Caenorhabditis elegans: one gene and its partner. The protein of the gene in region 2 purifies or fractionates together with the protein of the main gene of each other region. This does not show direct contact. Each region holds a gene or a part of one and is shown on either strand. Other genes may lie near its edges.

The links. The genes of interacting proteins can lie anywhere in the genome.
Region 1: the proteins of nit-1 (region 2) and gpa-10 fractionate together in Caenorhabditis elegans (co-fractionation; one large-scale study listed by BioGRID). This does not show direct contact.

What each region holds. Positions count from the first base shown.
Region 1 is NC_003283.11:6,850,997-6,857,151, forward strand, and holds gpa-10 (Guanine nucleotide-binding protein alpha-10 subunit), read right to left. Parts: upstream 3,816-6,155; 5' UTR 3,808-3,815; coding exon 3,746-3,807; intron 3,700-3,745; coding exon 3,592-3,699; intron 3,409-3,591; coding exon 3,270-3,408; intron 3,217-3,269; coding exon 3,056-3,216; intron 2,652-3,055; coding exon 2,483-2,651; intron 2,433-2,482; coding exon 2,343-2,432; intron 2,294-2,342; coding exon 2,140-2,293; intron 2,098-2,139; coding exon 2,016-2,097; intron 1,834-2,015; coding exon 1,728-1,833; 3' UTR 1,525-1,727; downstream 1-1,524.
Region 2 is NC_003281.10:3,919,251-3,925,100, reverse strand, and holds nit-1 (CN hydrolase domain-containing protein), read right to left. Parts: upstream 2,895-5,850; 5' UTR 2,875-2,894; intron 2,841-2,874; 5' UTR 2,758-2,840; intron 2,657-2,757; 5' UTR 2,650-2,656; coding exon 2,438-2,649; intron 2,290-2,437; coding exon 1,970-2,289; intron 1,921-1,969; coding exon 1,839-1,920; intron 1,618-1,838; coding exon 1,314-1,617; 3' UTR 1,228-1,313; downstream 1-1,227. Other genes in the region: ZK1058.9 (uncharacterized protein), read left to right, coding at 1-25, 132-398, 665-790, 839-943, 991-1,102; metl-6 (tRNA N(3)-methylcytidine methyltransferase), read left to right, coding at 3,395-3,475, 3,526-3,678, 3,726-3,872, 3,921-4,076, 4,128-4,400; ZK1058.3 (putative galactose-1-phosphate uridylyltransferase), read right to left, coding at 4,463-4,771, 4,825-5,010, 5,268-5,450, 5,803-5,850.

The DNA of each region.
Region 1 (6,155 bases), on a different chromosome or scaffold from region 2:
AATCTATCGATTTCAGTTATGTTCCTGGAATGTACAGCAAATGTGGAGATAAGATGGGTCTAACTGAAAAAGTGGAAAACTATCAGATGACACAAGCAATATATAGAAAAGATTTTGGAGTTTGGGACAAAGAAACTGAAATTTACAAAAAAATATTTGGGAGATAGCGTTCCACATTGGAGAGATTTAATGCCAGCTTGCTCATTGTTCTTCACAAATTCAATTCCATATGTAGACTTTCCAAGAACTATTACCCAAAAGACAGTTCCAATTGGTGGAATTTCCGTGAATATGGAAGAAATAAAATCGAAAAGGCTCCCAGTGGAGTGGAGTAAAGTTTTGGATAAAAGACCACAAACAATGCTAATCTCTTTTGGTTCATTGATAATGTGGATATGCCTTCACAGTTCAGGTACGTATGTAGATATTAGTAGACATCGTCTTCTTTTTTTTTGACTTATGTAAACCTGGTGACTTCTATTAGATGAACCATTCCTGTTCAGTCGATAGACTCACAAAAGCTGAAAGATTTGCCTACTTATCAACTGAAAATGCATCAAACTATTGACATTTTAAAGGTTCATATTTTGAAAAAGAGATACATTTGACTAAAAGCTTCTATTTATTTTGATAATTTATTTCTTATTTTTCATATTTTTTTCTTATTTTTCATATTTTGATAATTTATTTCTTATGAAGTTTTTTTTTTTTTTTTTTTGAAGTTTTCGAGCCATGAATTCATTTTTTTTCAAGCCAGTTTTTCAGGCAAAAACTCCAAAAACTCCACTCCATATTCAAGTTATAATTATTTTAATAATTTTCACACTGTTGTAATCAAAATATTAATCAGATATGTATTTCAGAGACGAAATTTTCAATGCAATTAAATCTTTACCAAATGTAACGCTTATTTGGAAATATGAAACAAATGATTTGCAATGAGCAGAAGAAATTGAAAATATTCATTTTTCAAAATGGATTCCTCAAACCGCATTACTAAATGATGACCGTTTAACAGCATTCATGACACATGGAGGTCTTGGTAGCACAACTGAACTTGCGTATCTTGGTAAACCAGCATTAATGGTACCAGTATTTGCCGATCAAAACAGAAATTCTTTGATGTTGGCAAGACATGGAGGAGTTCTTGTAGTCGAAACGATCTTTGGAAAAGGGAACTTGTGAAAAATTCCATTTATTCAATTTTGAACGACGATCATTTTAAGAAGAACTCTAAAAAACTGGCAGAAATGTTGAGAAACCAACCAACAAATCCCAAGGAGACCGTAGTCAAATACACTGAATTTGTTGCAAAATTTGGTCCGTTCCCGGAAATGGATCCATATGGGAGGACACTTGGATTCATTCAAAGAAATCTTTTAGATGTATACCTTGTTATTATCTTTCCGTATATTTTTGGAATTCTGTCCATTTATCTTGTCGCATGTTTTTGTTTGAGAAGATGTGAAAAGTCAGGTAAAAACGATTGAACATTTTTCTTCTAAAAGAGATTCGAATAAATATGTATGTTCCTTTAATCTTATTTGGTTCTCACTTTACACTGAAAATTAGTACAAATTTTCATCAGAGTTTCAGTCACGATAAATTTCAATCAATAAAAAATGACACCACTCAAATAGAATAGGGAATAATTATTACTAATCACACACGTTGTTTGAGGCAGATACTAAATTGAAGAACAATAATTTGTGCAGAGCGATTGGAGTTCATATCATTCCCGTATCTTTGAGATTATCTTGAATAACTGTATCTATCACTGTATTGATGATTATTTGAACTTGATCCGATATTGCACATGTTTCATGGGTGTACCTGTAAAATTACGTTTTTGAAATTTACATTTTATTTTCTAGTACTGTTAGTGTTCCATACTGGCACAAAAAAGTCAAAAATATCCAAGAAGTCGAATACGTTCAGAATTCTTTTAGTTTGTAAGTTCATAGTTAGATTTTCAAAAGTGCAGTAGACACAAAACTGTAGTCTCAAAAACTCACATTCTTTTTTTGAAGTCCGGGTGAATCCCTTCTCTAAATTGTCTCCGAAAGAACTTTGTACCTTCTGAAACTGTGTTTGCTCCTGAAACATGAAACTATGAATTCAAAAACTTGGAAAACAAACCTTCAAATTTTGGAAAGTAATCCTTAATCTTCACATGTTTTACTTTCTCCTCGAACAAATCAATTTTGTTCAGGAAAAGTATGACTGCCGCTTTTTTGAAAAACTTTCCATTAAAAACTGTCCAGAACAATCTGATGGATTCATGCATACGGTTCTAAAATTTAATTTTTCGTTTCAATTTTGTGGCTGTTTGGAAAAATTACCGTCTCTTCATCCTCCGCTAACTTCTGATCAAACTCGCTAATAGCCGCTACAAAAAGAACAGCGTCAGCCTCATCGAAAAAGTGATACCACTGAAATTAAATTCTCAATTAGGAAACAAAGAAATAGTTAAATTTCCAACTTTTCGTCTTTCAGATCGTTGTCCACCACAATCGCAAATCATCAATTTGATATTGTTCATAATAACTTCGACTTGTGCAACTCCCGTTGTAGGTACCCGTATGTGAACAATATCCTGATTTGTCGGTTCAAAGCCTGGCAATTTTATACGGTCGATGTTGTCGAAGAAACTGAAAATGAATTATTAAGTTCAAATAACACAATTTTGAGATAATTTAATGTAGTTATTCAATTGATTTTTTATTGCAAAATTTGCCTGCTAGAACAAGAACATAAACAAGTTAACATCATAGACTTCAGCGATCACTATCACAATTTTTTTTTTCTAGACCTGTTAATTACATGTTCCGTTAGACCAAATGACAGATACACGAACAATGTCTGTAGTTTGGTTTTATTTGTGAACGAACAAACATATACATAACTCGAAACATTTAAATAATAACTGTGTGACATAAAAGAATATTTTAAGAAACATTTCAGACATTTTTGAAACGTGTTTTTGAATCAATTGAAACATTTTTCTATAATTCTAACTATGAATGCGCTACAAGTTTCCAAAAAAAAAACTCACTACTTGGCACTATCTGTCAAATGAAATGTGTCTCTCTTGGAATACGCGTCCTGTATTGCACTGTTTCCCCAGAATTCCTTCAGTGTATCGGCGAGTTCAGGTCTCATTATTCCATCATGAATTACCGCCATTTTCAGTTCTTCGCACATCACAGTATATCGCTAAAAGTTTTTAATTTGAAACCTAATAAAACCCGAGAGGTCGCAAAACTCACTTTATCATCGTCTTCCGTCATCTCCAAAATATATTCTCTGACGTATTCTAACAACATCTCAGAAAATTGACATAAATTCTGTATAATTAGCACTTTTCGTTCGTGTAGTTCTGTCTTTGTGTAGTTTCCAGTCATGGCTCTGAAAATAGAATGTTTGGCTACCCATATAACAGGAAATATAATAGTTATTAATTAATTTTCAAACTGTAAACAGAAAGAAACAGACACAACTCCCAAGGTATAATCAGAAACCTATTTATTTTCCCGTTGTTAATTCAAAATATTAGGTCATGTACAAGAATTATTAAAAAATCAAATATACCTCATCTGTTTCATGACAGTACTTTTTCCACTTTCACCAGGCCCCAGTAGAAGAACGGTTTGCTCCAATTGCATGTTTTTCTTCTTTTCGAGCTGTTTTTCTATTTCTCTGAAATATTAACGACAATTATGAAACATGTAACTCAAAAACTGACTTGTTAACTTTGATCTGATCCTTCATCTCGTCAGTGAGTACAAATGACTGACAGACCCCCATGTTTCCCTGAACATATATTGAAATTTTTGAAAGAACAAAAATAATTCAAAGATTATGACGATTATGATAGAGAACGCAAACTTTAATTATAGGATGCCAGCGAGATTCAACTTAGACAACGAGACAAATGAAATGACTAATCAGAAAAAAAAAAACAAAACATGTTGTCATGCCAAAAAAAAAGTTTCAGAAAGCTTGTCGAGACAAACTGAACAGACTTTTCGGCAACGAAAATGTAGATTTCACACCGGAAATAAAGTCAATTTCCACTGTATTGCTCAGAGAGAATGTACAAGTTTCGTCAAAAAAAGTTACTATTTTCATGAGAATTTTCAAATCCATCAATGCAAGAGAACATTCCTTCAAAAAAAATTATTTGAAACCCGTATTTCAAAGCCGCGCGACAAACTGAATATGTACCAAAAAAAAAAAATAAATAGATACGTAACTCGGGATGAAACCAAACTCGTTGACTAATTTTCAAAAGTCATCAACACTAGAAACGACAATATAATTTCGAAAGAACTTGTTAGACTTAAAGAGAGATAGGTAAATCCTAAATTTCAAGACCTTGTGTGACGCCATAATTTTCCATGAAAAAGCAACATGGTAGCACGTGAAGAACATAGTTACTTTAGATTTGTAGATTTGTACTTTAGATTGGGATGTTTTTTTCTTTAACACAAATTGTTTTTTGTCTCAATGTTAAAGATGAACCAGTTTTTCAAGAACGTTCAAAATGACATTTGGAAACTTTCTCTAAAACCACAGATTTTGGTTCACCGAAAAACATCTGAACACTTTTTCACTACCCGTCAAAGTCAAGAAATATTTAAATGAAATGGCGATAAATTACATTTTTGTTTGAAACCAGTTGTAATCGTTATGTTCGCAAAATTTTTCCGAAAAGCGCATGAGCTCAACACAAATTTAAAATCACATAGGCTTAAAAGTCGTGACAACACAAAAATGTAAAAAAAAAGTTGTGGAGAACACGAGAGAAGAAAAGGGAAAAAAGCAAAGTTATGATTAAATGAAATGAGAAGGAAGGTAGTGATGATTAGCGGCGGTCCTCTCCCCCCGGTTTCCTTGACTACCGCAGATTCCCAATTAAGCCTCTCTGTAACAAAGAAACTAAAAGGTGAATAACAAAACAAAAACACGAGAACAACTTCTGACTTGCATGTTGAATGAAATACACTCAAAAATCGCGAGACTACTTGAGCGTGGGAATGATCAAAAAGAAGGAAAAAAGATAATGTGATTGTTGGTTGTGTATTTGGGTTAGAGGGAGATATATTTATATTATCAATCAAAAAAAAACAGAATACCCGATGCTCTATAGGGAAACATTTATGTTGCTATGGTTTTATGATAGCTGGTCAGAAAAATAGATAGATTAGAAAAGCGTTTTGAAAAAGAGAGAACTACGCCAATTGAGTAAAGTTTTTTAAACGACACGCAAACGGAAATCGTTAGCTTTGTTGTGAGTTAAACCGGAAACAAGTTTATCTGGTCTTGATATCAATAATAACACTGGGACCAAATCTCAAACTTCACTAGCTAAAATAATAAAAAGTAAATGAGTTAAATGTCTTTGTGAGTCTGAAAACGAATAAAAGCGGAAAGATTATTGCAAAAAAATTATGTTCGAACTTTCTGATATTGAATTATTCTTGCCGAATCATGCACCACAAGATGCCAAGATTAAAATAAAATCAAGCCAAATTCGGAGTTCGTTCATTTTGTATGAAATATTGGAAAGACCGGAATTAAACATTGATAAGAATGATTTTTGAAGTTACATTTACGAACCTCAAAATAATTTTTAAACGATTTCAGATCACAAATGTCAGAATTATCACCTAAATTTTTTTGTGAAAATTAATAAACAGATCATGGAATTTTTGTCTGGGATAATATGGTGACTTTAGAACATTTAGAGATATTTATAGCAAAAAAAAAGTCAGACAACGTATTTTATTTATGTTTTCGACCAGCTGGAACCAGAATCTCCAATTTTGAGAATTCTTGCTCACGAGCAGATTTTTTTTTCGCTGACCAGGGTAAATTCCAGAAACCGACCGTACCTATGAAATGCCCACTCTCGAAGTGTTTAGGAAATTAGATAAACTGACAAGTTTTTGCATTTGAATTTTGAGGTGAAAGAAGTTGTAGAAACGTACAGATTTTTAAAAATTAGTTAATTTCCCGGAAGTTTTAATTTCTTCAAATTTAAGAAAAATGAACAATAAAATTTCAGCTTCAGGATTAGAATCACTTCCGAAACTTTTTTTTTGTTCTGAACTTCTATTGTTTGATATACAAAGAGTATAACAAAATTACTT
Region 2 (5,850 bases):
CTGTCGATCTCAGCTCGATTTCTAGGTATGTTTTGGAATTTCTTCGAAATATTTTTTTGAATATGTGTGGAAGTTTTTGCTTTGTAAAATAATCAAGAGCGGAAGTTATAAAACTAAACTTTATTTTTCAGGGAAAAATACCTGTCAAGATGGTCCAGAGAGAACACACCAGTTGACAATGAGAAGAGATACGCTTCTCATGTCCGTCGCAGTTACACTCCAGTTCGTGAAATTTCCGCCGTCAACAATGTGAACGACGGAAATTTGCATCGTTCAAGAACTCCATTGGCAACCGTAACAGCTCCATATCACACAAACATTCATTATCGATCGGAAAACGAACCATTCAGGAAATATGATGTTTATGGATTGAGAACCTGGAGTTATCCTATTTATAAGTAAGTCGTTGGGGTTTTTTTTGCGGGTCAAATGCTGCTTTTCTGTTCCTGTTGTTCCGAAATGTTTTTGACAAACTTTACATCTCTAGAAGATTTTCTGTTCAAAAAAATGTTCTGCATCTTCTCTTTTCTAGTGTAACATCTAGAGTTCAAGGCGTCAAAATGTCAATCGAAGAAATAAAAAAAGAAGCTAGGATATTCTTTTTTATTGGGCAAGAACCACAGAGCACATTAAAATGCAAAAATTGTTTGATTTTTCATTTCAGATATGTGTACGGACGAGAGGGAGACTACAGACGGCCATATTCATTTGATAGGAATTATGGATTAACACCCAGCTACACGCCTCCGCAGTTGACCGCTGAAAGTCGACCGATAACAACCAGACGAGGGTAAGAATTCCATTTATACCTGTATCTAAAATTTTCAAATTGTTTCAGATACTCCGGCTATTCCTATCTTGCCAATGAAACACATTATGACATCACCAGCCGCCCGAAAAGTTTGAGCTCCTACATGTACAGTAACAAGTATCTCGGAACCACGTGAGTATTTTTTGCACGTAGATAATGATGCATAGAGTCCGTTACAGAGCTGCCCCATGGTACTGGTCATGTTATGGAAACAGTGGTCTTCGTCACTTCAACAGCTATCGCCCACACAACTATACAAGCTCAACCGCTAGCTGGTCTCGTTATTATTAATGAATTTTCCTCCAACTTTTGTCCTCTTCTTCTTCATCGAATCGATCGATTTTTCCTTCCCCTGCCACGTCATCGCTTAATCATTTTCTGCTTTCCCCCTTTTATTGCGATCGACACAAAAAAAATTCACACAAAAATTGTTTTATTTGTAAATTCATTGGACCTTGAAGTCACACCTCCAAGACTAGAACAATAAATTTTGAAATTAAATTCACTTCTTAACTACTGTACTCTGTGAATTCTCATTGACCTTCAACTGGAATACATCCGGCCTACTGTAGTGTCCGACGACGTCTAAATCCATTTTTCCAAGAGCTAAATCAGAAAGATCGAATTCCGTGTAGCGAATCGTTTCTTTTGTGAAATCTGGCTCCACGAGCACAGTTCCAAGTGGATCAACTGCGCATGATCCACCGCGAATCAAGACTTTATCTTCACCGTGTTCTTTTCGAAGTGGGTGATCCAAGGGATAGTCGGAGGATTTGAGGAATTGACATGCAGATACTACGAAGCATCTGGAAGAAAATATTTGGGAGAATTCGAAGTTTGAACGGTCAGGGGCCGAAAACGGTCTGGGGTTCCAAAATTGGAGGTGAAGACCCATCAAGTTTGAGATAAAGTATTCTAAAATTTGGGCCAAGGGACTCGAAATTTAGAGTCAAAGATCTCAAAATTTTGGATCGAGAGGTTTCAAAATATGTGGCTAGGCAATTTGAAGTCAAGGGTCTTTACTAACCTTCCTTCTAATGCAATAGTCCTCATGGTAGAGAGCCAGACATCTCTATCGTCGACAGTTGGAGCTAGATAGATTTGGATTTCTGAAATTAATTATTTCTTGAATTTAGGTGTTAAATTAAATTTACTAACCTTTACTGTAAAGCGTCATTCGATATAATGGCATATAATTCTCCCAGCAAATGGCACTTCCAATTTTTCCAACACTTGTACTAAACACAGGCATTGTTGAACCATCACCTTGTCCCCAAACACATCTTTCTAGAGCAGTTGGCAAGAGTTTTCGGTGCTTTCCAAGGTAACCGGAGGGTGAGTAAAAGAATACAGAGCAGTATAAGGTTGAAGCTTCTCGTTCAACTACTCCGATTACAATATGGATATTATTCTGAGCTGCTAGAGATTCGATGAGCTTCGATTCCTCGCCGTTCTCTTCGATGGCGTTTTCGAAGTATCTATAACAGAAAAGTTATGCCTCGGCCGATTGTGAAGACATCAAAAAAATGTAGAAAAAGAAATGGCACATATTTTGTCAGTTGACAATTTTGTGATAAAACAAAAGACACTCGAGTTGTATGTGATTTCAAAGTTTGGTCATCCCACCTTTTAAACTCTTTCCTTCCTTCTGGAGTTCGTGTGCCCATTGTGATTCCAAAGCTGTTCCATTTTGGATATCCACCAATAAAAGCTTCAGGAAAGAGCACTAGTTCAGCTCCATTTCCAGCTGCTTCTTCCACATTTTTCTTAACTTTTTCCAGAGTTGCTGGTTTATCAAATAGTGGGGTCCCCGCTTGAACAATTGCAATTTTTGGCATTTTGAATCTGAAAAAAGGAGCATAGGGTTTGAAAAGAAGGATATTTTTCAGCTAAATTTGCTTCGTGGCCGAGCTTTCCATTTTCGCGGCCACAAATAAAAAGCCCACCTGGCCACCTATGCAGCTGAAAATACTGTCTGCACAGATGTTTTAAAAAAGTATGAAACCAAGAAAAAAAGCTATGGGATGTTACAAATACTAAAAAATGTATTCTTTTTATATAGCGACCAACAAGTCATCAAAGGCAAAAATGAACTCGGCATGGTCTGGCTGACGAAATGAAAATGATGACAATTAGTGATATGATAAGAATGTTTTCTTTGAGGGTTCATCGATGAGATTGTAAATTGTCACGTAGGCAAGTTCAAAATATCATTCATTAAAAGATGATGATGATCTATTGTTCTATTCTTTTGTAGTCACTTATAGTTTGCCTGTAGCAAATTGGGTTGTTTCGAGGGGACATTGAAGCGACAAGATCAATATTTTATGAACATTGCTCAAGAATGTTTGCTTAAATATTTATTTTGAACGAAAATGTCTATTTAGTCGCTTTTAATTGTTGAATTCAGATTTAAATTGGAAACTGTGATTTAAACTTCCGCGCAAAACATAGCGGGAGATCGGAGCGTCGTTGAAATTTTGTACTTTAATTTTTTTTTGTTTTTTTTTCATAATTTCCTCTTTTTTTTCTTTTTTCCTTGCTTTTTCCACACTAGTGTAAGCTTAAAATTTTCCAGAAAACATGTCAGATGATGGGGGCTTTCTTTCAAGTCAAAGTTCAAGGGAATTAACAGAAGATGACCATGAAAAGCTGGCAAAACAGGTATTTAACTAAAACTGTATTTTTAAAAACGCTTAAAAATGAATTTTCAGACGAGTATAAGCGATTTCAAGCGAAATAAACTGGAAATTGACGCTCGAAAAAATTGGGACAAATTCTATCATCGAAATAAAAACAATTTCTTCAAGGATCGGAATTGGAGTGCAGAAGATCTGAAAATGATGTGCCCAGACATAGATTTCGAGGTTTTAATTCTGAAATTGCACTGAAAAATTTTTAATTTTCATTTAAGAAAGAAATCTCCTATCTGGAAGCTGGATGTGGCGTCGGCAATATGCTTTTCCCATTAGTCGCTGAAATTCCAAATCTGAAACTTTTTGCATTCGATTTTTCGGACAACGCGGTGAAATTGTTGGAGGAACGCGCAAAAGAGCTTGAAGTATGTGCAAAAAACTCTGATATGAAACGTTTAAAATTAAATTTTCAGCTTTCCGTAGCAACATCTGTCGTGGATTTGTCAATTCCTTCAGTTTCATCTCCATTCGAAGAGCAAGTTGATCTTGCTACACTTATTTTTGTGCTATCCGCGATTCATCCCGAAAAACATCAAATTTCAGCGGAAAATGTAAGAAAAATGATAAAAGTGAGTGCTTTTTTAATTTCCAGCAACATAAAATTGGAATTTTTGTTCCAGATTGGAGGCTCTGTTGTAGTCCGGGATTACGGTATCAATGATCACGCTATGATTCGTTTCGGCCGGGAAGCAAGAATTTCCGATCGATTTTATGTTCGACAAGACGGCACCAGAGCTTATTATTTTGATTTGAATGAGCTTTCGGAGGTTTTTGAAAAATCTGGATTTCGATGTGTTCGGAAGGAGTATCTACATAGAATGACGGTTAATCATCAAAAAGGCCTGAAAGCTCCGCGGATTTTTGTGCAAGCCAGGTTTATTAGAGAGAGTTAATTGTTTTTTTTCAAATGTTTATTCGATTGTTTTGTTCTTGTTAACTAAAGTTGTTAATAAATTTATTGCAATTTCTTTGAATAATGCTCTTCATCGATCTCGCTCAGCGTTTTTGCAGCAATCTCCGGCGAAAGATCCCGTTGTTTTTCAGCAAAAACTTCATATCCAGCAAGGAATTTCGGAACAGTCGCCGAACGAAGAAGTGGCGGGAAGAATGACAAGTGGAGCTGCCAAAATGAGCAATTTTCAGTCAGAAAAGAGCCAGTTGGGGCTCCAGACCATCCCATCATGTAGGGAAATGAGCATTCAAAGACATTGTCGTACTTGATGAGTAGAGAACGAAGAATTTCAGAGAGTGATTGCTTTTCAACCTGGAATAGCGGAATTTTTGCCATTTTTAAATTATAATTTCAAATTTACGAACCTCTCCCAAATCAGTGAATCGTTCCACGTGTCGATTTGGTAGAAGCATTGTCTCATACGGCCAGAATGCCCAGTACGGTACGAGCCAAGTCCAGTGCTCATTTCTCATGATTATTCGTTCCTTTTTTAGAGTTTCCTGCTCCAGATAGTCCATCAGCATAACCTTCCCGTGCTTTTCGAAATGTTTCTGAAATATATTAATTTATTCTACCGGTTTTTGAAATGCCCCGCAAAAAATTATGTACGTTTTTTTTAGAAGTACAGTAACCCATTCCGAAATTTTCTTAGATTTTACTATTTACGATTTTTAAAATTGTAAGTGTCATATTTTGTTTCAAAACTACATTGGAAATATGAAATTCAAGTAAAACTGCAAAGAAGTGAGGTTACTGTACTTCTTAAAGGCGCAGCTTCGGTTTTCGAACTTCAAGTTCGTGGCGAGACCTTTTGACTCTCATGCTTCTTCATTGGCAGCGTCGGAAGATAATTTGACGCCCACAGTTGCCCATGTGGATGCATATTCGAACATCCGACAACTGCTCCACGATTTTCGAAGATTTGAACCCATTCGTATTTCGGGCCGAGCTCCAGATATTGTTGGTTCCAAATGTCAATGACAACGCGGACCTGAACATTAATTTTTAGATGTAGTTGGGCTCATACTTGGAAATGGGAGAATAGCCGTGAAATCTCTACCTCGGCATGTGTAGATTTACGCAGCTCGTGTACTCCCCGAGGAGAACTGTTTTGGAACGGAATATAACAGTTTAAACTTCAGTTTTCGGCTTGATCTCTTAATTTCAGATAATTTTCGCCATTCGTAAGCTTTCAATTTAGTGTTTAACTGATGAAAATCGAAAATTAATAAGTTTTTGTTAACGATTTTTCCCTGCAGAAAACAAATGAACACTTCTCCTCGGGGAGTACACGAGCAGCGTAAATCGACACAAGGTCTTCCATTTTCAAATATAAAAAAAACCTCTTTAACATCCATTGTTGCTAAAGTGAGTTGACTATTTGGGTGATA